Rattus norvegicus: one gene and its partners. The protein of the gene in region 1 purifies or fractionates together with the protein of each later gene. This does not show direct contact. Links are inferred from orthologs where the notes say so. Each region holds a gene or a part of one and is shown in the gene's direction. Other genes may lie near its edges.

The links.
Region 2: the proteins of Ikbkb (region 1) and Fkbp5 purify together in Homo sapiens (affinity purification with mass spectrometry; 3 studies listed by BioGRID and IntAct, with this or other methods). This does not show direct contact. The link is inferred for Rattus norvegicus from reciprocal best matches to the Homo sapiens genes IKBKB and FKBP5.
Region 3: the proteins of Ikbkb (region 1) and Casp8 purify together in Homo sapiens (affinity purification with western blotting; 3 studies listed by BioGRID and IntAct, with this or other methods). This does not show direct contact. The link is inferred for Rattus norvegicus from reciprocal best matches to the Homo sapiens genes IKBKB and CASP8.
Region 4: the proteins of Ikbkb (region 1) and Ripk1 fractionate together in Homo sapiens (co-fractionation; 3 studies listed by BioGRID, with this or other methods). This does not show direct contact. The link is inferred for Rattus norvegicus from reciprocal best matches to the Homo sapiens genes IKBKB and RIPK1.
Region 5: the proteins of Ikbkb (region 1) and Keap1 purify together in Homo sapiens (affinity purification with western blotting; 7 studies listed by BioGRID and IntAct, with this or other methods). This does not show direct contact. The link is inferred for Rattus norvegicus from reciprocal best matches to the Homo sapiens genes IKBKB and KEAP1.

The regions. Positions count from the first base shown.
Region 1 is NC_086034.1:76,019,803-76,025,745, forward strand, and holds the start of Ikbkb (inhibitor of nuclear factor kappa-B kinase subunit beta), read left to right. Parts: upstream 1-2,228; 5' UTR 2,229-2,311; intron 2,312-2,582; 5' UTR 2,583-2,604; coding exon 2,605-2,709; intron 2,710-5,943.
Region 2 is NC_086038.1:6,460,159-6,464,526, reverse strand, and holds part of Fkbp5 (peptidyl-prolyl cis-trans isomerase FKBP5), read left to right. Parts: intron 1-2,201; coding exon 2,202-2,441; intron 2,442-3,492; coding exon 3,493-3,597; 3' UTR 3,598-4,368. UniProt on the Homo sapiens protein: Immunophilin protein with PPIase and co-chaperone activities. Component of unligated steroid receptors heterocomplexes through interaction with heat-shock protein 90 (HSP90).
Region 3 is NC_086027.1:67,755,352-67,761,432, forward strand, and holds the start of Casp8 (caspase-8), read left to right. Parts: upstream 1-2,669; 5' UTR 2,670-2,958; intron 2,959-6,081. UniProt on the Homo sapiens protein: Thiol protease that plays a key role in programmed cell death by acting as a molecular switch for apoptosis, necroptosis and pyroptosis, and is required to prevent tissue damage during embryonic development and adulthood.
Region 4 is NC_086035.1:31,073,243-31,079,331, reverse strand, and holds the start of Ripk1 (receptor-interacting serine/threonine-protein kinase 1), read left to right. Parts: upstream 1-2,164; 5' UTR 2,165-2,466; exon of another isoform or gene 2,467-2,521; intron 2,522-3,169; exon of another isoform or gene 3,170-3,338; intron 3,339-6,089. UniProt on the Homo sapiens protein: Serine-threonine kinase which is a key regulator of TNF-mediated apoptosis, necroptosis and inflammatory pathways.
Region 5 is NC_086026.1:28,050,109-28,056,103, reverse strand, and holds the start of Keap1 (kelch-like ECH-associated protein 1), read left to right. Parts: upstream 1-2,061; 5' UTR 2,062-2,337; intron 2,338-2,478; exon of another isoform or gene 2,479-2,618; intron 2,619-3,656; 5' UTR 3,657-3,703; coding exon 3,704-4,342; intron 4,343-5,995. UniProt on the Homo sapiens protein: Substrate-specific adapter of a BCR (BTB-CUL3-RBX1) E3 ubiquitin ligase complex that regulates the response to oxidative stress by targeting NFE2L2/NRF2 for ubiquitination.

The DNA.
Region 1 (5,943 bases):
GAGGCCTCCTTGTAAGAGGCTATGTTTGCACAGACTGGTTAGAACTGCAGCACCACGGAGAGATTGGAATGTTACAAGTCCAGAGGCTAATTATCTTATCTGGAACACCCATTGCTTACCCACCTCTGTGTCAGAACAAACCTTATGTGACTAAGAGATTAAAAAAAAAAAAAGAACCAAAAAAAACAAAACAAAACAAAACAAAACAAACAAAAAAAAATACCCCAGCTTTTGAAATCTATTAACTTAGCGAGCTAATATCTTCCACCAACCCAAAAGCTGAGGTCATTGGAGAACATCTGATGATTCATGACCTAGCTTCCCCATCTTGCTGTAATCATCTCTCTGAGGTATCCACTGGTGTGTCTCAAACCTGCCTTGATTTGTTCCTTTCTTGGGTCTGTAAAACTATAAAGCTTCTTAAAACTGCTTCCACATTGGAACGTTATATCCGGGGACTAAATGTATATTCCCATGCCGTGATCTCTTATCTATGCTCCTGAATAAACTATGTATTTTTTTTTCCTTTGAGGTGAGAGCTGTTTCTTTGGATGACACGGTGCACCCTTGGTTCCCACTTCTGCTTATATTTGTTTCAGGTAGAGGAATCTCTTACCTCAAAACGGAAGTGAGGTACCGAGATCTTCCTGTCAGGAATGGAGGCGTTCTAAGTAGACACTTGAGCTCTTCCTTTTTCCTATTAAACTGTGGGTATAACAGACTCCGAGAAATTGGAATCCCCCCCCCCAATATCATTTGAGGCCATGTGCGAGTCTGTATAAGAAAGCTGTGACCTGGGGTTGGGGATTTAGCTCAGTGGTAGAGCGCTTGCCTAGGAAGCGCAAGGCCCTGGGTTCGGTCCTCAGCTCTGAGAAAAAAGAAAAAAAAGAAAGAAAAAAAAAAGAAAGAAAGCTGTGACCTTCCTGAGAACTGTGGTCAGGGCAGAGTGCAGAATGTTCTTCGCACAAGGTGGCCTTCTAGAAATAATTGCATAACCTATAAAAAGTGGATGGCGGTGAAAGCGAGGACCGAAGGGTATGTCCATGTTATCTCTGTGGGAGGGGCGAAGTTCTGGGAGGAATATTCTTGGCTTTTTTCCTCACACGTCCAAGGATGATAAGACATAATACCAAGTGTATTCCCTTGTTGTCCTTGTATTTGCGAAAGCTCTCTGTCAACATCACTTCGTGTTTTGCTCGCTTTAACAATAAAAGAGTGAGAAGTGCTTTATTTGCTCTATTCCTGAGTTCAAATTCTCAGAGTTCCCTAGTTATCCCACAAAGACCGTGGACTTATCATTCAATCCGTGGAAGACTCTGTTGGCCTCGCTGGTTGCTGTCCGCTGTCTAAAAAGCCAGCAATGTCAGAAGCCTTGTGCTAACAGCAGAGGAGCCTGGCTCAGGCAGAGCTTTCACACGGTTCTGACAAATGCCACCTCATAGGAGAGACTGGAGCCTCATCAATGATGGTGGACCAGAACATACCTTGAGCACAAATACTTAGTTATGTATACCTCTTCCCTTCCATTTAAACCCAAACCCCATGGCAGGACCCCAAAATTGGACTTGGCTTAGCAGAGGTACGGGTGAGAGTGATTGGATCTCTTGTCTTTTCCCAATGTAGTCACATTGAATAAACTTCTTCACCCGCCTTTCATCGCTACTTGTATCATGAATTAGGCTATGGAAGGTGAGTGGCTGAACCTGGCTTGCTCGAGGCAGGGGTGGGGGCTGGTAGGGGTGTGGAGTGGCAATACCCAGGCTCTTGACCTAATAACAAGTAATTTCCCTATGCTCCCAGTGCTGAAACTCCAGTTTAGGTAGACAGCACTAGCTTTTGTTTTATCTTTGTACTCTTCCCTCTCCTCCCTCCCCCCTTGAGGGGGATGGTGGTGTGTTATGAGGAGCATAAGGGTGGTTTCTTATTCTTATTTCTGAACCAGGAGCGTTCGGGCTCCGAATGGCGAATGGTGGGAGGACAGGGAAGCAATTCTTAGGACAGTCCCTAAGTCAGCCCTAGTGGGGGTTTAGCAGATTAACTGCCTAAGCCAGTGGGATCAAGCTCAGTCAGAAAAGCGCCAGGGTGAAGAACTCTCCAAGCCGCCAGGTCCTGCACCGCCAGGTCCAGCACCACGGCTGGCTGTGGCTCAGTCCCAGCGAGCGGCTCGCGCGTCCCCTTTAAGAGCCGTCAAGTGCCCGTGACGTCAGGGCAGGAAGTGTTTGAGGAAGTGGCGCTGAGCTGGCTGCGTGGGGACCCCGAGTTTTCATGTCCTCAGCGGGTGTCGCTAGCGGCCCCGCGGCCCCCGGGGCAGGTGAGTCCCACGCGAGGGTGGCTCGTGGCCGGTGGACCGGCTCGCCCGGGTGCACGCTCGGCTTCTCCCCGGGGTCCCTGGCTGCACCGCGCTCGGTGCGGTGCGGAGCGGACCCGCCGGCGGGCCGGGCCGCAGCAACTTTTATTTGTTAACTAAATCGGTCTCCTAGCCCAGCCTCCCCTTGAAGGCAGCAGCCGCTGCTGCTTCCCCCTGCTTCTTGAGCTCCAGTGTTCTTACTCTCAACTTGTCCTCTCTTCCTACTTGCTTCTAGAGTTAGCAGGGAGGGCATCGATATGAGCTGGTCACCTTCTCTCCCAACCCAGACATGTGGGGCCTGGGAAATGAAAGAACGCCTCGGAACTGGGGGATTTGGAAACGTCATCCGGTGGCACAATCAGGTAGGGCTCTGGCACCGGGGAGGGCGGGTGATCTGTCTTGGCGCCTCTTCTGTCCTGGCCTGGTGTGGATGGGTGGATCCCCTCCTATCCTTGGCGTGGTCCAATGAGAGTGTAAGAAAAGGGACTGCAAAGGGGACCTGTGAGCTGCTAAACTGAGTCTTAAAAACCTTAATAACCCTGATACTTAGAAGGGCGGGGGGGGGGGAGTAAGCTGTCATTCCAAGTATTTTAAAATTATACATTTACTAATATTTAGACTAACACGTGATAGATTACATAGGGATAAATGTTGTAGAATACAGGCAGTGCTAAAAGATGAGAGAAATAAAAACATTTTAAATAACTATTTAAAGTATTTTTAGGTAGTTAATAACTCCAAGGTTTTTTCTTCTTTTTTTCCTTTCTTTTCCTTCCTTTCTCTCTCTCTCTCTCTCTCTCTCTCTCTCTCTCTGTCTCTCTCTCTGTCTCTCTCTCTGTCTCTCTCTCTTTCTTTCTCTCTTTCTTTCTTTCTTTCTTTCTTTCTTTCTTTCTTTCTTTCTTTCTTTCTTTCTTTCTTTCTTTCTAGTATGGTTCTGCACAAAACACCCTTAGTATGATTAAGGCTAATGGGTGAGAATGTGCAGCCCCTATAATGCGGAATGATTTGGACTGATTTTGCTTTGGGATCTGCTTATTATTCCTATTATTTTAGCCCTTCAGTGTCTGGCATGAGTTGTTCAGGTTAAAAGTTTCTGGTCTTCCAATTTTTTTTTGTTTGGGCTGTCGGTAAGTACACTGCGATTCTTGGCAGGACTCTCTTAGCTCACTTGTTTACTGTATGAGATTGTTTTACCCAATTTGGGTAATTGGTTCGTAATAATGCCTAAAAGGCACACGTTGCTTGTGATGTCTCTGCTGGAGAACACTTACTTACCTCAGGGCACGTGAGTGTAATTGTCACACTTGGGGGTCACAGCCTGTGCCCTATGCTGGGTCCTCAGTAAGTCAATTAAAATAGTGGAAAACAAGGGATTCATTCACGGCGAGGTCACATTGGGAAGAGGGACAGACAGATCCAGCAAACCTCCCACATCCATCTCCATGATCCTAACATTAGATTAAAGTTCAAATAGAACGCCAAGGATATGCACATGTAAGCAGTCTGGTCCAGCCTACCACAGGTCCTTTTTTTTTTTTTTTTTTTTTGTCATCCTGTGAGATTTTCTGAGAGTGTGTTCAAGCTCTGTGGCCCAGAAGACAAATTCCCCCTCTGGCTGGTAGTTTTTCCTCTCTCCCACCATGAAATTTCTGGGGAATTTCCCATCTCTCTGGCATCCAATGTTTAAAACTACCTCTTTAGAATGTCTTCATTTCTGCCAGGCCAGTTACCCAACCTCCTGAGAGACCTGGGGAAGTGCTCTCTCTCCAGAGGCCTATTTTTACATTTTAGGATTCCGGTGTTGGGCAACCCTTGGGAAACTTACCAAAACAAGAGGCCACCCTTCTAGGGAATCCTTCCTAAACAGCTAAAACCAAGGTCTTGACTCAAAATTAAGCGGTCAAGGTGAGAGACTAGCTTGGTTGGTGGTGGTGATGATGGGGAGCAATAGGCAGACTGAAGAGGTTTAGGGGTTAAAATAAACAGGACTTGGGTGGATAGAGGGGGTAGGGGTTAGAGTTCAGGAGGAGTCTGGCTGAAGTGGTGCTGGCTGGGGAACATGCCTGCTTAGACCTGGAAGTCCTCTGCTGTCTTCATGGACGGATCTTGGGGTAGCCTCGGGGCTGCTTTGGGTGCATAGAAGCAATCTTTAACCCACACCTAAGATCGGAAGACGCAGCATGCCTTCTGTGGGACGCGCCTCTGTCCCCAGCCTCTAGGCGCATGCAGCCGAGATGGCATCAGGCATCTTCGTGCTACCTCATAGGCTTTCCCTTGTCTACAGGCAAGGGAATAGTCTGTAGCTATCACAGAGAAATTGCCTGAAAGAGCCCTAGTCAGAAATGTGGCCCAAGAACCAGGGTCATTGCTGCAAACCTCTTACATGTCAAGGTCGGGGTAGGTTTCTTACCTGCTGGGTCTGTTTTACCTTACCTTACTTACATGCTTTACTTCTGGTGTTGGCACCTCTAATTCCTGTGTTATAACCGAGGAATCAGAAGCACAAGGGAATTAGGTAATCTATCAAAAGAGGCTATGCCGTTAACACATGCATCTATTCCTATCCGGACGATATGCCCTGCCGTGGCTTCTTCTGGTTGGAGCTAGAGTTTAGGACATGTCCTAAACCATAGCCAGTTACTCTGTAGGTACTCTTTAGCTCTTCACAATCGACCCAAGCCATTTTGAAGCACCAAGGAAAAACTAAGGGATACTCAAATGTAGCAGATGACCCCACTCCAATTCCCTAGGTTCCTGACAGACACAGTGCGGGCTTGACAGTCTTTGCTGCCTAGGCAACTCCTACATCCCCAGCCGAAAGCCATTTGTACTTCAGGTAGGCTCCTGTTTGCAGCAGACAAAGAGAGGGGAAAGATACAACTCCCGGGGCCTCAGCCTGCAGCTCCTCTTGAGGGTAAACAGGGGAAGGAACCACTCATTCTCACAACCACACAGCACTTGGTTGGAATCCTGACTGACTGACACTTGCTAATTCTTGGATTTGGATCACAATTTCTGGTGTGCATCACAGACCCTCATTGCGACTGGAAAGTCGTGAGGCAAATGCACCGTGGAAACATCCCAGGATCCTTTGCAGCTATTACCTCATCGGTGTGCCCTAATGGGAAAGAGACTGGCAAGTCCAGGGGATCCGTGATCGCATGATGGAAAGTAGGGAACGTGCTGGCTGTTAGAGGGCAAGGGGTTATCAGTCATTCTTCCTACGAAGTAGCACTGAGCTTTGCCGGTAAGACTAAGGTCACTTCCGTGTGTCGAATGTGTGATCTTGGAACTCAGTTCCCAGAGCTTCATGCAGACAAATGAAGAGGTGACACCATCCGTAATTTGTCTTTACTTACATAGAATGAATTCTTAAAGACATGACTAAGTTTAAATGCTCATGTGTAAAGATACTAATGACTAATGCTTATCGAGAATCCTTTTCATTTAACAGCTGCATGAGGCGGCAACACCCTTAACCTGAGTGCCCACTGGGAGGCAGAGGCAGGCTAATCCTTGTGAGTTTGAAGCCAGCCTGGTCTACAGAAATAGTTCCACGGTAGCCAGGGCTCCATAGTGAGGCCCTGTCTCAAAAC
Region 2 (4,368 bases), on another chromosome or scaffold:
CCAGTGACACACTTCCTCCAACAAGCCACACTTCCTGATCCCTAGTCCTTCTAATTCTTTGAAACAGTTCCATTCCCTGGTGATGAAGTGTTCAGATATATAAGCCTGTTGGCCATCCTTATTCAAAGAACCACAGGGATCAATGCCATGGTCTTGGTATTTAGGAGGCAAAGACAGAAAAGTGAGAGTTCAAGGCTGCCCTGGGATAACAGGTTCTGTCTCAGAACAGTACTGTGAAGATAGCTCACTGGAAAGGCACGTGCTACCCAGCCTGATGACTTTGATTCCTAGGACCTACGTGGGAAAGAGAAGAACTCTGGCCTCTTCCACACTCCTACACAAGTGCATGACAAGTGGAATAACATTCGTACAGTACATGTGCAGACACCAACGTAATAATATGTATTTTTTTAAAGATTTATTGATTTATTTTATGTATATGAAAACACTGTAGCTGTCCACCAAAAGAGGGCATCAGATCCCATTACAGATGGTTGTGAGCCACCATGTGGGTGCTGGGAATTAAACTCAGGACCTGTGGCCAGTGTTCTTAACCACTGAGCCATCTCTCTAGCCCAGTAGTACATTTTTTAAGAACAACAAAAAATAAATGTGAAATGGCAAAAAAGACATTTTATATGTTGTAAGACCTCAAAAGAAAATAGAGAGTAAAAGAAAAAACACCTGTCCTCTGGTGTGTGTGTGTGTGTGTGTGTGTGTGTGTGTGTGTGTGTACACATACACAGATACATCAGATGCATGCACACACTTATATAATACACAACCCCAGAATGCAAAGTACTATAAGAACTAACTAGAGAAAGGTGGGACATAGTTACCATGTAGAACCAGGACTCTTTCCACATCAGTTGAGTATGTTCTGTGGCTCTCCCTCACTGTGCTTGGTGTAAAAAGACTCAACCCCTTAAGGACCATTCTGTGAATCGTGGGGATTTACTTCACTGACCCTCACAGGAAGAGTGTCCATGTCTGTTTTTATTATAAGGTTCATAATAATCCTAAGAGTCATAAGAGAAAGCTGTTGAGTGTCTCTCTCCACACGCGTTTAGGGCGCTCCCACAGGATAGATCACTAGAAGTACAAGTGCTAGAGATGAGCACATCTAAACTTTTAGGGGCGGAGAAAATGGCTCAGTGAGTGAAGCGCTTATGGCGCAAGCGTAAGAACCTGACTTCTGTCCCTGCACCCACGTAAAAGCTGCGCATGAGGAGCTAGAGAGGTGGCCCAGTGGGTAGGGGTGCTGCTTGCATTGCCAGCAATCACACAGTGGCTCATGGTTGTCTGTAACTCGAGTTCCAGGGGTCCAACACACACACACACATACACACACACACACACACACACACACACACACACACACACACACACACACACACACACACACACACACACTCACACTCTAATTCCAGGCTGCCTGAGACGGTAATATCAGTGTTGGCTAAAGCTGATTGGCAAATCTCCAGGGCTCACTGGCTGGCCAGCCTAACCTATTCAGTAAACCCCAGACTAGTTAGAGACCCTGTCTCAAAAAAAGGTGGACAGCTCTGAGGAATGACACCAAAGATGGGCATCCAGCTACATCCACACGGATACATCCACACATACACATTGTGAGAACAATTTGGCTTGTAGTTGGTTCAAAGGATTCTGTTTGTGTTTGGCTGACCCTGGTCCTATGGGCAGGAGGTGCAGAAGGGCAGGGCAGAGCAAAGCCACTCACTTCCTCGAACTCAGGACAGAGACCCAGAGACAAGATATTCCTTTTAAACACAGGTGACATCTCTAGGGCCAGGCACTCAGGTGGCAGGGACGAGTGGATCACTGCATTTGAGGCCAGCCTGGTCTATATAGTGAGACCCTGTTTGTAACTGTAACTTTGCTACTGTTGTGAATCAGAATGTACATATCTGATAGGCAGAATACCTCATAGGTGACCCCTAGTTCAGTAAGGACTCACTGGTGAGGTGCCTCCGGTTCCAATCAGAAGCTCTCAACACCATCTGGACGTCAAGGCTTTGACACTGAACTGGAGACATTTTATACTAAATACTGGAAACCAGTGAGTTTGGCCACTGTCTGATTGCTGGGTGTCCTTGCTTATCTGGTGTGAGTGCACTGCCTCAGCACTGAGGCGACAAGGGTCACGGCATCCCTTCTGAACTGTGACCGTCTGTCCCTAGGCCCTTGGACTGGACAGCGCCAACGAGAAAGGCTTGTACAGGAGGGGCGAAGCCCAGCTGCTCATGAACGAGTTCGAGTCGGCCAAAGGGGACTTTGAGAAAGTACTGGAGGTGAACCCTCAGAACAAGGCAGCGAGACTGCAGATCTCCGTGTGCCAGAGGAAGGCGAAGGAACACAACGAGCGGGACCGCAGGGTGTACGCCAACATGTTCAAGAAGTTCGCAGAGCAGGATGCCAAGGTGTGCCCGCTGCCTGGGCCGGGAGGGCACTAACCTGGGGCCAGGTCGGGAGAGACAAGACTTAGGAAGGGACTCCACTGTGGCCAGAGGCATGGACTGGGAGGCCCCGCGGCCCCTCTGTGAGAGCTGAGAGGCCGACTCCCTGAGGTGGAGCAGCGTCTTGTTCTGCTTTGTTTTTAAAGCAGGGTTTCTCTGTAGACCTGGCTAGCTTCATCTCAGAGGTCCTCCTGCCTCTGGCTCATGAGTTCTAGGGTTACAGGCATCTGAACCAAACCAAGTTCATTTGGTTTTGTTGTTGGTTTTGTTTTGTTTTTTTAAGATTTATTCATTTTATCTATGTGTGTACACTGTAGCTGTCTTCAGACACACCAGAAGAGGGCATCGGAGCCCATTACAAATGGTTGTGAGCCATCATGTGGTGGCTGGGATTTGAACTCAGGACCTCTGGAAGAGCAGCCAGTGCTCTAACCACTGAGCCGTCTCTCCAGCCCTGAGTTGTTATTTTTAAAAAGATAGATTCAGCCAGGCAGTGGTGGCACACACCTTGATCCCAGAGCTTGGGAGGTAGAGGCAGAGGTAGGAAGTTGTCTGAATTCGAGACGAGCCTGGTCTACAGAACAAGTTCCAGGACAGCCAGGAACACACAGAGAAACCCCTGTCTCAAAAAAACCCTAAGCCCGTCCATATTGTTTTTCTAGAAATACTTCCTAGCTGAATCCAGCTTGGATTGGAAACAGGTGTCCCTGTGGTGGCCTTTACTGCACACTCTGCTGTCCTCGGGAGCCTCGCTGGCAGTGGGTCTGTCTAAACACAGGCCAGCTTCTTGCCCCATAGCCTCCTTCTGGTCCCAGGTCTGGCCTCCATCTTCAGCTACCAGTAGCACAAGGGCTTAGTTATTCAACAGCTGCCTGAGGTACAAGCCCCTCCAGAGTGCGGCACCCCTCCTTCCTAGTGTGCACACCCGATGCACACATGCACACTTGCCATAAACCTGATCAAACCATCCCGAAAGGCAGGGGTTAATTCATTTCATCTCCTCCTTTCCCCTCAGGAAGAGGCCAGCAAAGCATTGAGCAAGAAGGCAGTAGAAGGAGCGGCCGGCAAGAAACACGAGAGTCAGACCATGGGAGAAGGGAAGGCCGAAGGCCACGTATGACGCCACGACAAGGAGGGAAGAGAGTCCTAATGAACTCGGCCCTCCTCACTGGGCTCGCCCCCAACTCAGGACTGAACAGTGTTTAGTGTAAGGTTTGTTACAGTCTCTGTGATTCTGGAAGCCAATGGCAAGCCAGTAGCTTCCCAACCAACCACAGCTGCTGCCGGGGGTGGGCGGGGACTGCCGGGGAAACAGCAGAGAAGGCCGCTGGTGTGGAGAGACCAAGCCAGCAGCTCAGTCCTGCTCATTTCAGTCTGTCACCTTTTGATGTCCAGCGCAGCATCCCTTGTGACCCTGGGGCCCAGCTGCTGTGGGTTCTTCACTATGGTCACTGCAGAAACCGTTGAGAAAATAAACTCAGTGGATCTCTGCTTTCCTATTGGTGGGCATGGCAGGGATCTCTGCTTTCCTATTAGTGGGCATGGCAGGGCAGGCGATGAGATCTCCTGTGGCACTGACTCGCCTGACACAAGCCCACACAAGGGGCGCCCAGGTCCACAGCTGAATCTCGGACTGCTTGCCTGCCCTCCAAGCTCCCCTCTCAGACTTGAGTGTGGCTTTCTGTCCTCTCCAGCATGTCCATGGGCTCTGTCGTTCCTCTACACCCTTCACTAGTGACAGCAGGTGGGGCTTTCCTGGTCAGTTTTCTGTTTCGGGTGAATTTCTGAGGTGTGGGGAGCAGTCGGAGTGAGTTATCTTCCCCGCTGCCCCTCTTCAGAATGTTAGCTCTGCTCGGCTCCTCCCCGTTCTCTGCCCTGCAGTGAAGAGCCT
Region 3 (6,081 bases), on another chromosome or scaffold:
AATACATTTTTTACAGGCTTTGAAAGAACGATATTCAGCTTCATATGGGAAAAATAAAGCCAGGGCAGCTAAAAACAACCCTGAATAACAAAAGATATTACCACCCCGATTTCAAGTTCTACTACAGAGCTATAGTAAGAAAAACCTCACAGTCCTGGCATAAAAACAGACAGGTTGATCAATGGAATTGGGTTGGAGGCTCAGATGTAAACCCACACACTTATGGACACCCAGTTTTTAATAAAGAATCCAAAATTATTCAACGGAAAAAAGAAAGCACCTTTAGCAAGTGGTGCTGCTCTAAGTGGATATCAGCGTGTAGAAGAACAAAAACAGATCCACATCTACCTCCCTGCACAAAACTCAAGTCCAAGTGCATCAAAGTCCTCAACATAAAACCAGAGACACTGGACAAAGAATGGATAAAGAAAATGTGCTTTATTTACACAATGGAGTATTATTCAGAGTCAAAACAAAACAAAACAAAACAAACAGGAAAAGTCAGATCCAACTAGCCCGGCCCCATAGACACTCATACTCACAGACACTGAACCAACTTAGGCCCTCTGCGTGTGTTACGCTTTTGCAGCTTGGTCTTGTAGGACTCCCAACAGTGGGAACCAGGCCTGTCTTTGATTCTTGCCTGCTTTTGGGACTCTTTCCCTCCTACTGGGTTGAACGGTCCAAACTTAATATGAGGGGAGGTGTCCTTTCTCTCCGTCTGCCACGGAGATGAACTCTAATTCTGGCTCAATCCCTCTGGTGACCCAGCTAGTTTCTCTTCGGCAATTGGTTTTTGTCTCACTGGAATAACTGAGGCAGAACAGTATGGTTGCCTTAAGGACAATGTTGGATTAGAATTCTCAAGTAAGTGGTGATCTTTGACATTCTTGTGGCAAAAACATCTATGCTCTTCACCCAAGGGGTAAGTGAAGGAGGGATCTAGTGTCCCCAAGGTATGTTGTTTAGTAACTGTTTTAGTCTCTCATCTGTGAGAATTTCCAGAACAGGACTGAAAGGGATGGGGTGTCCTTGATGGATTTCCTGCAAAATGACCCTGTACAGTTGGAAGAAGAGCTGGTGTGATGGTTTGGATTGGTTTGGCCCCCACAGATTCATGTGTTTGAATGCTTGGCCATAGGGACAGGCACTGTTAGTGGGTGTGGCCTTGCTGGAGGAAGTGTCACTATGGAGGTGGGCTTTGGGGTCTCATATATGCTCAAGCCACGCCTAGTGACAGTCTCCTGCTGCTTTTGGATCAAGATGTAGAACTCTCAGCTTCTATTTCAGCACTATGTCTGCTGGACTGTTCTGCTTCCCACCCCGATGATAATGGACTGAACCTCTGAAACTGTAAGCCAGCCCCAGTGCAATGTTGTCCTTTATAGGAGTTGCCTTGATCTTGTCGTCTCTTCACAGCAGTAGCAATTGTAAGGCAGTCAGACAATATGATCAAATGCACAGAACAGCTGATTATACCTTTTCCAGACCGAGACCCAGAAGGCTCGTGTGCTGTGTGCTGTCCAGGGTGCTGTTTTGCTCTCCTCTCATTAATCATTTGACCCTGTTCTTTAATTGCTCATCAGCAATAAATAATCATACCTGCTGTGGTGGGGTAGCCCGACTACGAAGTATCTACCACAACTGGCCCATTCGTATGGGTCTTGGATTACAATCTGGTGGCTTTAGCAGACGCATCCCTCACTCGGGAACCCTCCAGGTAGCAGCTGGATTGTGTTGGTGACATACTGGTCTGGTTTAACCAGATTTCACTGGTTTTGTGAAACACTGTTTTGGTGTGGTTTGACAAAATGTCCCCCGTAGGTTTGAGCACTTAGTCCCTTGCTAGTGGCGGTACCTGGGGGGAGGTTGTGAAAGTGAGTCTCTGGGAGCAGCCTTGAGGTTTTTTATAGCCTGACCATACTTCCTGACCAGCCTTTTAACCCCGCCCCCACCCCGCTTCAGACAAGTTGTTACTCTGTAGCCCAGTTTAAATTGTAGTTCATCACACTGCTCACTCTGAACTCCAAGTATTGGGAAGGAAGTTAGTATGTGGTAAAATGGGATTTTAGTCTTTGTATCTACTTGATGTTCTGGACTCCATAATTCTGCCTCAGCACTGTGGAAAAACATGTTACCATGAATTCCTAGAACACGGCTAGGAGCCAGGATTTCTCCAGTGTGTGTACTTCCGAACGCTTCAACTGCAGGCCCGTGTGACCCTAAGAACAGCCTTATAATATGATCTTGGTGGGGAGACGGGTCCATGAGTTCAGTGCTGAGTTCAGACCATGCCACAAAGTAAAATTTCTCTTTCAGCGTCTCCCTTGACCATCTAACTTCACAGTGTGAACCAGGCAGTTCCGTTCTGTCTCCCTTGCTGGTTTTTTGATTCAGTGCGAAATCACTTTCTTCTTGTAGTTGGCTCCTTTGAACTGTGTGTGTGTGTGTGTGTGTGTGTGTGTGTGTGTGTGTGTGTGTGTGTGTGTGTGTGTGTGTGTGTTTCCAGTGTCTCTGGGCTAGCCTGAACTTACCAGTTCTAATCTTCCTGCCCCTACCTCCCTGAGTGCTGACATTTCTAGAGCTGGTTTACCCATCCAGTCACAAGGTATAGGGTTTCTGTATGCAAGGAGGTGGGGTTAGGGTGGGGGGAATGAGGAAGTGTCCTTAAGAACTGGCGGGCGCTCCTAAGGCGGGCAGAGAGAAGCAGCCTATGCCACCTAGTGATTATCAGAAATTAGTCATTTCTGCTCCTTAGTTCTCTCAGTTGCCTTTCTCCTCCCTCTGACCTCCGGTGTTTTATAGTTCCGCTTCTTTGAATCCATAGTAAACTTTGGCGGACTGGCCAGGGAACAGGAAGTGAGCCCGGCTAGCGGCAGCCGGAGGCGGAGAGCGTCTCCCAGGGGTTGCTCGCCCGAGAGGGGAGCTGTGACTGGCGGGGCAGGGACTCGGCGACAGGTGAGTGCTGCAGAGTAGTCCGGTTCGTTCCTCTCCTACCAGCAGGCCGCGATCCCAACGGTGGCAATCTAGCCTGACGCTCCCCGAAATGCGGCCATCGGAGTACGGTCATCGCCTCCTCCAGAAAACTTTATTCGATTTCTTAGGCTAACTTTCTTTGTAGTCCGGCTCAGGACCTAGAGCCAGGTTAATTATCCGGTGGCATCACTGTGTGTTCTCTGACTTGCGTTGGGTTTCCTCCGGCGATTTTCAGGCTCCTCCCAACTCTTAAGAGACGTCCCCCAACCCTAATCCCAAATCCTCTCTCCCTTTCTACTTCTCCAACATCTCCCCTCCCCTGTTCTCTCCCCTTTCTTCTCTTTGCCTTCCCCTTTCCCTTCCTCCTATTCTCTCATTCTCCCCCACCTCCTTCCCCTCCCCTCCCCCTCTCCCTCCCCTCTCCCTGACCCTTTTCCCTCTAAGATCTGGCCTCGAGCTTCTTGAACTTCTGATCTTTCTGCTTCCACCTCAGGAATGCTGGCAGTGCAAGGGGTGGGAGTGACAGGGTACCAGCTCTGCACTTAAAACCACAAAAACAGCAAGGGGGCTGGGGAGAGGGAGAGCTAGAGGTGGCCTGAGGCCAATAATTCCTCTACATGCTAAGCAGTTATAACAGTGACTGTCATTATGTACCAGTGAGGAATTATCATACTGTCATATTTCTATTTCTTACTATTTTTTAAAGGGAGTCCTTTAAGTGCCTTCTGCTTGGCTAGGTCTCAGTTTCATTCTTTAAAATGTATTTATCTCTATTTTAATTTAATGTCTATGAGTGTTTTGCCTGCATGTATGTATGTGCACTTGGTGTCCAGGGGGACCACAGATCTCTCGAACTGGAGCTACAGACAGTTTCAGTCACCATATGGGTGCTGGAAACTGAACCCAGTTGGTCTGCAAGAGCAGTGAGTGCTCTTAAACTCCTGAGCCTTCTCAACACCAAATCTTTCGTTTTTTTAATAAGCATGGTAGTAATCGAATTAGCATTAGGGTGATTAGCACTCCCCTTTCTCACAAATCCTATTTAAGAAGGCCCAAGCACTCATATGTGGACACGGAAGAGCTGCTGTTCATGGCTGTATGCCTCAGTGTCTCTTCCCCAGTGGGGAGGAATGTGACACCTGGGGTCATTTAGGTGTTATTCGGTTTTGCCTGGTCATTTCTGTTGTGGGTTAAGTCCAGGAACTACCAGGCTTTCTCGCACAGCCTGTACAGCAAGCATGGCCACTTCACTCGATCAGGCTGCTTTTTTTTTTTTTTAATCTTTCAACTTAAAATTCTCTAATAAGAAAGTGTGCATCTTCTTGCTTTATTTACCATTCCTCAGATTTAATGTGGCATCCTATGATCTGTGTGGGCTTAGTGCCCATCGGGGAATTCCGCGTTCATACCCATTGCCTCTTTACAGAGTTTCTTTTCATTGATGATTTTCAGGCTGCTGTTGTATGGTTCAGGTGTTACTGTGAAAGCTTCAGTTGCTACCCTCAGGAAGTTTGTGGTCTTGAACAGGAAATTCTCAGAAGTGAGCCGGAACTGGGGCAGAGGTTTCAGAAGATGCTGGAGTAACTCCGGGAGTGGATTGGGGGCACAAACAGGATTTGATTCTGCTGCTCCAATGTTGCCCAGGTTCCTGGCAGAATCAAATGCCAGCTAAAAGTCCTGATATGGTGGTGTCACCTTTGCCCAGACCTTGAGGGTGGACACGTACTTTCAGGTGACTTATTCAGTTCCCTCAGCTGTAAACTTGGGGCCCTTTACTCGGAAAACTTACCTTCTATTTTATTCTGTGTTAGGTAGCAGAAAACACAGTTTCAAAGTTCTTTTCTCTTTCTTCTCTTTAACACCAGACAGTATTTTAACTAATTCCCAGCAAGCAGCTTATGTGTTTGTACACAGGTTTGTTCACATGGTGAAGGGCCCAGTGTTTGCCTCTTTGGTGAGATGGCTGTAGGAAAACCTTTGATTTTAGGTGGGTGTTTTTGGTGTTGTTGTTTGTTTTTATTTTTGTTTCTAATGGCTGTCAGTGGGAACTATGGAACTAGAAGCAGGGAGAACACTTCTGTGTAACAAGAAGAGTCAGCTGTGGAAGTTGCAGACGCTCGAAGCCCAGGACCCCAGGCCCATCAGAGGTGAAGTACACTGGGGGCCTCTTTTTACTAGTTAATAAAAATTTAGAAATTCATCTCTTTTTCTTTTTTTATATTCTAAAAGCGAGTCAAATGAAAGTTTTTCAGTTATATCCATACGATTTTTTTTAAATCCATGTGTTTTGTTTGTTTGTTTCGGTTTTTTTTTTTTTTAAGATTTATTTATTTTATTTACAGATGGTTGTGAGCCACCATGTGGTTGCTGGGAATTGAACTCAGAACCTCTGGAAGAGCAGTCAGTGCTCTTAACCGCTGAGCCATCTCTCCAGCCCCTCATATGATTTTTCTAAATTTCATAGATAATCAGTTGTAATGTCTCCCCTTTTGCCTCGAACTTTATTAATGTGTGTTTTTTTCTCTTTTGGTTAGTTTGTTTGTTTCTTTGTTTTTGTTGTTGTTTTAAATCTTTTCTTAGTAATGAACTCTATTTAATTCTTTGTGAATCTTTTTGTTTTGGTCTGCTTTGTTTTATTCATTTCTGCCCCGATCTTAATTATTTTTCCCATATGTCTTAGTTATTGTTCTGCCGCTATGAGGAGAAATCATGACCAACGCAACTTTTAGAAGAAAGCATTTAGTTGGAAGTTTGCTTACAGTTTCAGAGACGTAGTTCATTATCATCATGGTGGAGAACATGGGGGCTGCAGTGCTGGAGCAGGAGCCGAGCTCACCTCACCCACAAGCTACAGGCCAACAGACAGTGAGAAACTGGGCCTGGCTTGAGCTTCTGAAATGTCACTGACATGGCTTCTCCAGCAAGACCACACCTCCTAATCCTTCTCAAAGAATTCCAGTGAGGGCCGACCTCGTTCAGATCACCGCACCGTCTGTTGCTTGTGGGTTTAGCTTGTTCTCTTGTTTCCAAGGTCTTGAGGTGTTTCGTTGAGTTACTAATTTGAAACCTCTCTGGCTTTTTCCATTTGTTTATTGTGTGTTCGTG
Region 4 (6,089 bases), on another chromosome or scaffold:
TTTTGGCTCTGCCTCTCTGGAGTACCCAGACGGGACAAGCCATGACAGGTAAACATGGGACTATAGTCAGATCAAATAGTTTCAGGTTGCAAAAAAAGAAAAGTCTCCTATGCTTTACTGATATATCCCCCTTCCTTGTAAACCCATGGCAACCACTGGCCTATGTAGAATCTTCATAACTTTCCCTCATTGAAGATGTCATCTTTGAAATCATACATTGTAACATAGTTTTTTTTAAGATTGATTGTTATTACTTAGAAATACATAAAAACACACCAAATTCTTTTTTTTTTAATTCTGTAATTCATTTTAATGCCAAGTAGTAGTCCATTGTGGTAGATTTACTAGAGCTTTTGAAAGGTAACTCATTTGCTTTCAAGTTTTGGCAATTATGAAAAGCTGCTGCAAAAATTCAAACACAGTAATGGGAGAGATGGCTCAGTGGTTGTTCTTGCAGAGGACCAGGGTCTCAGCACTCACGTGGTGACTCACAACTATCCATACCTCCAATTCCAGGAGATCTGATGCCCTCCTCTGACCTCCATAAGCACCAAGCATGCAAGTGGTACACAAACATGCACCCAAAACACTCATACATAGAAAATAAACACTTAACTGTTTCAAATACAGGAGCCGGAACTATGAGTCAGCTGTTAAAAGCACATACTGATCTTACAAAGGACCTAAGTGTGGTTCCTAGACTCACACCAGACAGCTCACCTGTAACTCTAACTTCTGGGGACCTGATGCCTTTTTGTGGCCTCTGGGAGAATCTACACTCATATATACACACTCAAAAATAAAACAAAAAAAATTAAAGAAAAACAATGCTCAGGGTTTCAGAAAAGTGCTTGCCATGGCAACATATGAATCTGAGTTCAATCCCCAGCACCCTTGCAAAAACAAAAACAAACAAACAAAAAACTGGCTATGGCGACATTCCTGGAGTTGAAGACAGACACGCTCTTGCAGTTTACTGGGCAGACTGCTTAGTCCACTCCACAAGCTAAAGTCAAAAGTAAGACAATGTATGGAAAAGAAAAAGGTGAATTGTAAGGAGCTTCTGGAGGTGGGCTTCTGGCCTCCACATTATGTGCAGTTTTACACACACACACACACACACACACACACACACACACACACCACACGCACTCCACCCCCAAAATAACTCAAAACAAACAAAAAACCCAACTTAAGTACATGTGTTTATACAGTAGATGTATGTTTATTTGGGTACATACCTGTATGTGAAACTACTAAATCATATAGTAACCATAAAGGTTTTGCATTATTTGCAAGAATATAAGCGATTTTCAGTTATTGTATGTCTTCATTAACATCTGTGAATGTTTGGGATTTGGAGGCTTTTTATGTGTATTTGACATCAAATTTGAGTTCCCCTAGTGTCCTAGGACCTTGAGCATCTTCTTTTTTTTTTTTTTCAGAGCTGGGGACCGAACCCAGGGCCTTGCGCTTGCTAGACAAGTGTTCTACCACTGAGCTAAATCCCCAACCCCCTTGAGCATCTTCTTAATGCTTATTTTCATGGTATCTGGTAAAATGGCTGTTAAGTTTCTTAAAGTGGTGGTCGTGTGTAGGGTTTAGGAAGTCTCCTTAATCGTATCTTTTGTGATCCTCTCCCTCTCTTGACCTATTTTTTTTTCTTTGACAATAAGTGATCGTTGTATTACCGTGCAACTTCTTTCTTAATGACACCTGTAGTAACACTTATTTTTTTTTTTTGCTTGGGATTTCAATTACCACTTTAGAGAGCTACAAATTAATCACGTTTCTTCCTCGACAGCCTGCCGTGACAGATAAATGATAATTTGCCAGGGGTTCTGTCACCGCTGAACCCACAAAGCTTGCAAACGCCACTGTCGCACGCAGTGCTTGAAGCGGCCAAGCGGTCTCTGCCCTGACATACAGCGGTTATGACCGCCTCTTTTTTTTTTTTTTTAAGGGATCTCTCATAACTAGTTGTAAGGCAAAGCAAAACTACCATTCATTTTCCTAGCTGATTTCCGGGATCATCGCGCTGCAAACCTGGCTTTCTCGGTAGAGCTCAATGCCCAGCTTGGGAGGCTGGCGCTCGCCCGGGCACACCGCCCCGGGGCGTGAGCAGAGGCGGAGACAAGGGCGGTCGCAGCCTAGCACCACCCCAGTAGACCTTAGACGCGTAGGAGCGGCCCCCAGAGCGGCCTCCGGAGCGCGGGTATCGGTGCCGCTCACCTCCCGTGAGTCCAGCCGCTGTGCGAACCGGCTGAGGAGCGAGGTGGACGCGGTGGGAGGCGGTGAGGAGCCTGGGCGTGGCTGGACGCCACTTCAGCACCTAGCTCCGTCCGGTCCTAGTCAGGGCCCAGGTTCATCCCCGCCCGGCAGCCACAGCGAGGAGCAGCTCCTGACGTCCACCGCCCGTCCTTCCTCACCTGGGCCGGAGTACTTGGCCGCGGAAAAGCCTCTAAGGTAAGTCAGAGCCGGGGCCCGGGCCGCCGCTAGTTTCCTCAACAGCTGGATTCCCGGAAGGGGCGGGGGCCGAGCGATTTCTGCGCGTGGACCGGAGGGCGGGGCTCGTTGTTTCCGGAAACCGGGTGATGGGCGGGACTTCAAGCGTACCCGGAAATCGGAAAGCGCGGGACTTGCTGTCATCTAGCGGGAGGGTGGACACTTGAGGTAGTTTTAGCTCAAGTCGCGACAGAGAAGGTGGACATCTGCGCCGCGACCACGGTTACAGATCTCTCTTATTATTATTATTATTATTATTATTATTATTATTATTATTATTATTTTGGTAGGGATGACGGCTTATTGAAGCGTTAGTGCCCAAACTAGGTTACCTAAATGTAATCTATCAACCCTGGACCTACCAACTCTTTAAAAGGGTCTATTACTGTTGTACTTGGGGCAGTAGAAGGTTGCAAAGCAGTCAGTAGCTTTCATCTTTATCTTTGAGGCGAGCTGAAAAAGGAGTGATCCACAACCTCGACGAGAGACTAGTATCAAACATCCAAGGCTTCTCTGGTCCTCAGTAGCATTTGCTTTTGTATTGCTGCAGACACTCTCTGAATTGTGAAAAAGATAGGCCGCATTCTCCTCACCTAAACATTGGACAGAGTCTTCTGAGATTGGATGGTGCAGTCCAGGGTGACTCATTCATTGTCTCTTGCAGATCATTTGATTTCCTTGCTCTTTTATTTTGTGAAGCTGTTTTAAGAAATGCCACAAAAGACCTTCGGAAAGGTATTCTTAACACATGAAGACTCAGTGGCAGAGTGAACTTTGGGATGGAATGACTTAGTCGTGTAATTTTGTAACCACTGGAAAGGCCTGTTAGAAAGGTGAACCATCACAGCTGCATTGTATACAGAAATATACTAGCCTTATTTTAAGTAAAATTCGGGATGTTTTGTTTGTGTTACTGACAAAACAGTAGTAACAATTCTTAACTTTAATTTTCATTTTTCTCTTTCTTTGCTATTTTGCACATGATATTGAGCTTTCAGGATTGTATTAAGAAATATGTCCAAGGTAACAACTTACAAATTGGGCACTGTAGAAGTAATATTACTTCTTAGTGTGTGACTCCTTAATATCTTCAGTAGGATCTGGAAATTGAATCAAAAATAGTTTCCCAGGGTTGGGGATTTAGCTCAGTGGTAGAGTGCTTGCCTAGGAAGCACAAGGCCCTGGGTTCGGTCCCCAGCTCTGAAAAAAAGAACCAAAAAAAAAAAAAAAATAGCTTCCCACACTTTGGTTGGATATTATTCTGGCAGATGTATCTTATTATATAGACATGGATATAATACTTATTTTTTAAAAACATAGTTTTCCTAAGTTTTTAAAATTTAGTCAGTACACCCCCATATTTTTTAATGTAGAATATTAATTTAATCTGGGTAAGTCTGTATGATTTTGTTTGTTTGTTTATTGTTTTCGAGACAGAGTGTCTTTGTGTAGCCCTTACTATCCTGAAGCCAGTTACATAGAAGACCAGGCTGGCCTTGAATTCCCAGAGATCCACCTGCCTCAGCCTTCCTGGTATTTGGCTTGAAGGCTTGTGTCACTAAGCATAACTTTGTCTCAGACTCGAATCCTCAGAATACACAGCCATTGAGTTAAGGTGTAATTCTTTCAGAACGTAATTTTGTTATGAATGTAATTTGTGTTTATTATAGGAAATGTAATAAAAAATGTAAAGAGCCAGGAATGGTAATTACAGCTGTAATTCCAACACTGAAGCAAGAGGATCACAAATCTCAAGCCAGCCTAGGCACACACAAGACACTGACTTAACAAAAGTATACAGAAGAAAGGAACAATTTGCCTTACAATGTAAAATCAATGTTAGTGAATTTTTGGTGTCTTTCTCTATATTGTTTTTTTATTGCCATATAATCCATTTTATAGTTTATGATCTGTTTTATTATATCCTTTATTATTTAACAACTAAATAGTTCTTCTTTTAGAATTTTTTTACCACTTAACAATTGTTTACCATGTGTTTGGCTCTTCCAGGCACTGAGGACAAACAGGTTTTTTGGTTTTGATTGGTTTTGTTGGTGGTGGTGGTTTTGTTGTTGGTGGTGGTTTTGTTTTGTTTTTTGCCTCTGTACAGTTCATTAGGAACGATTTTAAAATAACTATTTGAGGAGAGACGTGCGAGCTCTGTAAACATCTCATAATAGGAAGACTTAAGATTGGAACCCAGGAAATGAGAGTACTCAGACCAGAAACTTCTAGTCTTCCTGACTAGGGGTTTAAAAGAATGTGGCTGGAGAGGGAGGGGTATATCTGAGATGAGGAAGACTGGGCAGGACTTCTTGCCCCAGAAAATGTATAGGAAAGGAGGAATTGGGCCTGGAACACCTAGTAATATTAACACCTTCTGTCTCCACACTAGTCCATTCTCAGTCTCATAGATTGTCTGTAGGGACCTGCTGGGTAGTCTCAATTCAGTCTTTAAGTGCTAATTTAACATGTAAGCAAGTAGGACTCTGGAGCTGTTTTCCACTTCATTTCCTTGGGGATGGCAGAGCCCCCATGGACAGCCTTTACTCAATGGGAGATGACCATTGTAGGTATACCCCTTGTCATTATACCTCCTTTTGAAGTGTTTTGTACACTTAGAAATGCACCTGTGTACACAGACCCACTGTGGATTCTCAGAGTCCTGGTGTTATAAACCTAACAACAGGACTTACCGTAGCTATAACTATGAAGCAGGCAAATGTATTTTCACATGTTACTTTCTCATAAAATTCCTTGCCAGTCCCAAGATGGGCTGTTATTTCCTTTCACAGATGAGGAAATGGAGGCTTAAGTAAGTTCCTTAAAGTCACGAGGCAAATGAATTAAGAGTTCATACTCTCCAGAGGAAGATCCTTGCTCTGCACTCCCTTAATGGTTCCTGCTAGCACGCTTCTAGTGCCTTCCTTACTCCTCAGCCTTCACTCCTTCATCTGGGCCACCTCCTCTCTTTGCCGCTGCCCCACTCCTAGTCATCTTCCTTGGCAGTGCCTGAGATGGAGAAGATCATTTGATGTGCCCCTCTGATATCAGCTGTGCTGTTATGCTGGTGTCCTCTAGGAAGCCTCTATAGAGTGTAGAAGATTCACATACCCAAGCATTCTGCCGCAAGCCACTAGACAAGACTATAGGCACCCTACCTTTGCTTGTGAGTTATTGTCTATTCCTTGAATAACTCTAAGATAAAGTGTCTGCAACTTGTAGACCTAGATGTTCCTAATGACAGAAAACTTGTCACCTAAATTATCCAAAACCTTTGACACAGTGTTAAGAGGATTCCCAAAACCAGGCCTGCTAAATAGCGGTGCTTTTGTACTTCTTAATACTATTAAATGTCTTAGGTTTTCAACCAGAGCGAAGCACACTGGGGCCATGTCTTCCACTGTGAACAGTTTCCTTTGGGGGTGACAGAGCTCTCAGGAAGAGTCTTTACTTCATGGGAGATGACTATCATAGTTTCACCCCTTTTAAAGCTATCACCTCAGACATGTTCTTCATATACTTCTTAGGTCTTCTGGATTTTCTCTTTGGTCATTTCTTCACCTTTTAGGTACTCATTAAAA
Region 5 (5,995 bases), on another chromosome or scaffold:
AGGTCTCATTGTTATCCAACCAGTCATTCTTCTGCTTCAGCTACTTCCAGAGTAGCTAAATTTTCATGCCTTCATCTCCAGGTCCAGCTCCATCTTGCTTCTTTTAACTGGCTGGATAGTATTTCACACTACAGCAATACCACCAGCTATTGAGTCAGAAGCCTACAAAAAAAATGTAGGAGTTGGGCGAGTCCTTTGACAGTTAAACTGTTATATAATCATGGCTGTACCTGTGTGAATGAGCCTTGATAAATCTCCACAGCCAGCTCATGGGGCCTGGAGGCTTGACTTTGAGAGACAGAAATTGTGGTCTTAGGCACCAGGGCAGGAATCCCAACACCTACATCATAGCTGAGTGTGGTGAGACGCCACCTTTGGAGAAGGCTGGAATTGCAGTTTTATTGAACATAGGAAAGGTCGAGTTCATGTGGTGTCTCCAGGAACTTCCCACACGGATCAACATCATTTCCACCGGACATTCCTTTATTCAGATGATAAATATATAAAATAATTACTTAAAATTATATAGCAAAGTGTGGCGTCTATATTAAAAATGCCAGCACTTGGGAGACTGAGGCAAGAGAATTACTGTGTGCTCAAGGCCAGTCTGGGCTACAAAGTGAAATCCAGCCTCAAACATATATGAGTAAAACTGGGGCTGGAGAGATAGCCCAGCAGTTAAGAGCACTGGCTGCTCTCCCAGAGGACCTGGGTTCAATTCCCAGAACCCACATGGCAGTTCACAACCATCTGTAACTCCCGTTCCAAGGGATCCAGTATGCACCTTATACAGACATACATGCAGGCAAAACAGCAATGAACATGAAATTAAAAATAAATTGAAAGAAAAAACCCAGAATACACATTTGTAATCCCATTGGAGAGATGGAGACAGGAGACAGAGTTCAAAGCTAGCCTGGGCTAAAAATGACATCTTGTCTGCACCAGTCAGTCAAATAATATTAAATTTTTTTATTTATCTTTATTTTATGTGTATGGGTGTTTTGTCTTCATGGTTGTGGTGCTTGTGGAAGCCAGAAAAGGGTATGGGATCCCCTGTAACTGGAGTTATAGGCGTTCATTTTGACCCTAATACCAGTTCCGGGAATTGAACCTGGGTCCTCTGAAAGAGCTGTCAGTGCTGTAATCACTGAGCCATCTCTCCAGCACCAATAATAACTTTATTTTCCAAAATTAATTTATGTGTGCATGTGGAGGTTGGAGGACAACTTGGAGGAGTAAGTTTTTTACTACCACGTGAGAAACAGGGATGGAACTTAGTTGCCAGAATTGGCCAAATCTTATAGGTCAAGAAAATAATTTTCTCTCATAAATGCCTTTGTAGCAAATAAGAATCTCTTATCATATATATATATATATATATATATATATATAATGAGAAATGCAAAGAAAGGCAATTCTGGGCATTCCAACTCTCCAACACCCTCAGATGAATGCCACACCTCTCCTCATGAAAAAATGACTACAGAGAGAGGAGAGAGGAAAGTGGGCTGCTGTTGCACCTTGCAGGCTCCACATAGGGGAAGAGAATCAGTTTCTGCCAGTCATCCCCCGACCTCTACACACAAGCATACACACAAATAAATTAATGTACACAAAGCCCTGCGTGGTGTCACAGCCTTTAAACCCCCACCCCCCCACTCCCCCTCACCCCGGCACGCAGGAGGCAGAGCGAGAGGCAGAGGCCAGCCAGGGCTATGTAATGAGGCCATTCTCAAAAAAGAAGTTATAAGGCTGGGGTGCTGGCTCAGCAGTTAAGAGTACCTGTTGCTCTTGCAGAAGACCAGAGTTCAATTCCCCCTCTCCACAGGGTGGATAACCTGTAACTTTAGGGGGCACTGCACGCCCACGGGGCACAGACATACACGCAGGCAAAACACCCACACACATAAAGTAAAATGCGAATTGAAATAGAAACCATTAAAAAGTTATTTTAAAGGAAGATCTGTATCTCAACCAGGTACATAGGTCTGGCTGGGCCGGGTAGGGTGTGGGAGGGTCCGCTGGGGCAGGTTCAGCTAGAGGCGTACTGGACAGCCTAACCCGGAGGCAGGCTCCTAGGGCCGCCCTGACCCACGCCCTGCTCCCTCCGCCCGGCACCTGCAGGAAGGGCTGGAACCGCCTCTGCGTGCCCGCCGCCTGTTTCCGCCCTCCCGCTCCTCCCACGCGTGCCGCCCGGGACCCCGCAGCACCGCTGCCCCGATCCGAGGCCCCCTGGCTGCCCTCGGCTCCTCCCGGAAGCGCGGCGCGTGGCGGCCCGGCGGTGCGGATTGGACGCGTGGCACCAACAGAGACACCCGGGGGGGTGGGACGGAGGTGAGCGAGCGCCCGCGGAGGATGCGGTGGGGAGCCAGCTCCGGGCGCCGCCCGCGGTCGCGCGTGGGGACGTGCACGCGGTGGGGGGAAGCGCGTGACCCCTCCAAGTGCGCACCCGCGCCCAGCCCGTGCACCCGCGTAGGGTGGTGGCCGAGGCGAGTCGAGGGTAGGGGTCGCCCGCGGCCGGCGCCCCGGGACTCTTATTGTGACAGGGTGGTGCGCTGTGCTTAGTCACCGTGACCCGCGCGGCGGAGGCGGAGGCAGAGCGCGGCCATGGCGGGGTGAGTGCGCCGCTCCGGGCCGCGGCCCGGGACCAGGCCCTGCGGGCTCTCCAGGCGTCAGGGCTGCGCCTCCGAGCGTTAGGGAGGCCGCTGGAGCAGGCACCGGGTACCGGGTGGCTGCTGCTCAGCCCTCTGCGCAATGCCAGGCCCGAGCTCCGGCAGTGTGGTCACGCGTGACAGTCGCTCACTTACTGGGGCCCCTGGAGCATTTCATCGTCGTCCCCCCCATGGTGACCTAGTAGACATAACACTGGGGGACGCGACTCCAGGCTGAGCCCCAGAACCTGGGGAGCCAGCTGCAGGCCCTCTCTGTGTCCCCACATCTCCTTTGAAAGCATAACTCCTGTCCTGGCCCCAGGTCTCCAAGGGTCTCCTGAATCCCTCACCGTGGGTGTTCCAGAGGCTGCACACTCTGCCCAGGGCCTTGGTGCTCGCCTAGTGTTTTCTATACAGACCTTGCTTTATTTTCAGGCCTTTTCTGTCTTCCTGCTGTGTCCCTGGAGCTCAGAACAGTTGCAAGTATAAATGGCAGGCTCTGTAAATTTTGGTGAGGTGTTGAAGAAAGGGATTTGACATGTCGGATGAAGGGAAGGGAAGCATGGCTGGAACTGAGTGAAGAGGTCTAGAAGGGGGTGTGGAGTTTTACAGGCCATTGAGGAGCTGGGTTTCCACTCTTGGGCTCTGGGATAGGTATTGGGTGATTCTGAGCAGGAAAAGGAACGGCCGGTGATTTGAGAAGAAGTCAGTTTGAATGGAGCCGGGTGTGTCCAGTTCACTTGGCTTGACAAAAACTGCTCTAGAAATCATTGCTTAGTCTAAAAAAAAAAAAAAAAATTAAAGCTTGGCTAGATATGGTGACACAAACTGTAGTCCCAGTACACGGGAGGAAACAGCAAACAGCCTTGTTTACATAGTGAGTTTGAAGCCAGCCTAGGCTAAGACCCTGTCTCAAAAGAAAACAAGAAACAAACAAACAAACAAAAAAAAAATGTGGCAGGGTCTGGCCTAATCCAGCCCTGTACTCTTCCCTCCTTCCAGGCCCCTAATCGCTAGTGGTGGAACTGTATCTTGTCATCAGGAACCCCATGCAGCCCGAACCCAAGCCTAGCGGGGCTCCCCGCAGCAGCCAGTTCCTGCCCCTGTGGTCAAAGTGCCCGGAGGGGGCAGGGGACGCGGTGATGTATGCATCCACGGAGTGCAAGGCGGAGGTGACGCCCTCGCAGGATGGTAACCGAACCTTCAGTTACACACTAGAGGATCACACCAAGCAGGCTTTTGGCATCATGAACGAGCTTCGGCTGAGCCAGCAGCTCTGTGACGTGACCCTGCAGGTCAAATATGAGGACATCCCAGCTGCCCAATTCATGGCCCACAAAGTGGTGCTGGCCTCCTCCAGCCCAGTCTTTAAAGCTATGTTCACCAACGGGCTTCGGGAGCAGGGCATGGAGGTGGTGTCCATTGAAGGCATCCACCCCAAGGTCATGGAGAGGCTAATTGAGTTCGCCTACACGGCCTCCATCTCCGTGGGCGAGAAGTGTGTGCTGCATGTGATGAACGGGGCAGTCATGTACCAGATTGACAGCGTGGTCCGAGCCTGCAGCGACTTCCTCGTGCAGCAGCTGGACCCCAGCAACGCCATCGGCATCGCCAACTTCGCCGAGCAGATCGGCTGCACGGAACTGCACCAGCGTGCTCGGGAGTATATCTACATGCACTTCGGGGAGGTGAGTAAGACCTGGGGTTTGGGCTCAGTTGTCACAAGAAGTGGGATGGGCCAGCATAGTGCTCTCCGAGACTGGAGCGGCCATTCAAGGCTGGAGGAAGATTTCTTTTTTTCTTCCTCCTTTTCTCCATAGGGCCTCATGTAGCTCAGGCTGGCCCTAATCTGGTTGTGTATCTGAGGATGGTTTTAAGTTCCTGATTCCTGTGTCAGTCTCCCAAGTACTGTAGTCACAGACTCCCAGTATACTTAAGAGATACTGGAATGGAACGCAGAGCCCCAGGACTTGGTTTTACTTTTGTTTTTAAATCTTTTTTTAAAAATTCATTTACCTTTATTTTGTGTGCATTATTGTTTTGCCTGAATGTTTTTCTATGTGAAAGGGTCAGGTCTTGGAGTTACAGACAGTTGTGAGCTGCCACGTGGGTGCTGGGATTTGAACTCTGGTCCTCAGGAAGAGCAGTCAGTAGTGCGCTCAACTGCTGAGTCATCTCTCCAGCACCTTAGATTTTATTTTTTTTGGCAGACTTCTCTAGCTGAGGCTTTTTTTGTTTTTCTTTTACTTTTGTTTTTTGAGACAGAGTTTCTCTGTGTAACAGTCCTGTCTGTTCTGGACCTCAATTTGTAGACTGGCCTGGCCTTGAACTAAGAGAGATCCACCTGCCTTAGTAATTAAAGGTGTGTACCACCACACCTGGCTATTGAAGCTATTGTTTTGTTTTGTTTTTGTTTTTTAAGTCCTAAAAAAAATACATATATATATATATATATATATATATATATATATATTTGTGTGTATATGCATGCACTGATCTTGTGTGGAAATCAGAGAACAAATAGCAGGAACTGGCTCTCTCTTGCTACCTTATGTATGTTTCTAGGTTAAACTCAGATCATAGGGCCTGGCAGAAAATGCCTTTACCCTCAAAGCCACATTGCTGGACTGAAAACTCAGCTTCTGAGCCCCTAATCCAAATGCAGAGAGCATCAGGTGAGGACATGCCCTCCTAGTGCCTCAGCAGCCTGGTCTCTTTGGTGTTAAAAATAGTGATGGCCAGCCTGGGCTATACAGTGAGACCCTGTCTAAAAAAAGTGGGGTGTGTGGGTGTATATGTGCAAACATATTGGTGTACACCTTTAATCCCAGCACTCAGAAGGCAGAGGCAGGTAGATCTCTGAGTTCAAGAGTTCAAGGATAGCCTGATCTACAGAGGGAGTCCCAAGACAGCCAGGGCTACACAGAGAAACCCTCGGAGTGCGATTGAACAGGCAGTCAATGGTACCCACCAACCTCACACATGCAGTCTCCAGCTTTGCTTGGCTTTTCCTGGGTTCACATGGTATTGCTTTCATTTTCGTTTCTGAATACAGGAAGTCCTCAAGGGAAAGTAATAGGGCAGTTCTTAGGGAAAGCCAGTCAACAGCAGCCTTGGCTCTGGGTGGCAGTGACTAGAAAGGTCCCCTGGACATGACTGCATTCTGAATATCACCAACCCAAACCCCAAGTCTGAAATGCTTCAAAAGCTTTTGAACACCATCTGTCGTTCTCAAGTGGACAGTTCCACACCTGACCTCACAAGATGGGTGGCGGGCACATCAAGCCTAGTGCATAAATCTTTGGAGGGCCGATGTGCTCCTGGACTGGTAGAACCCTTCC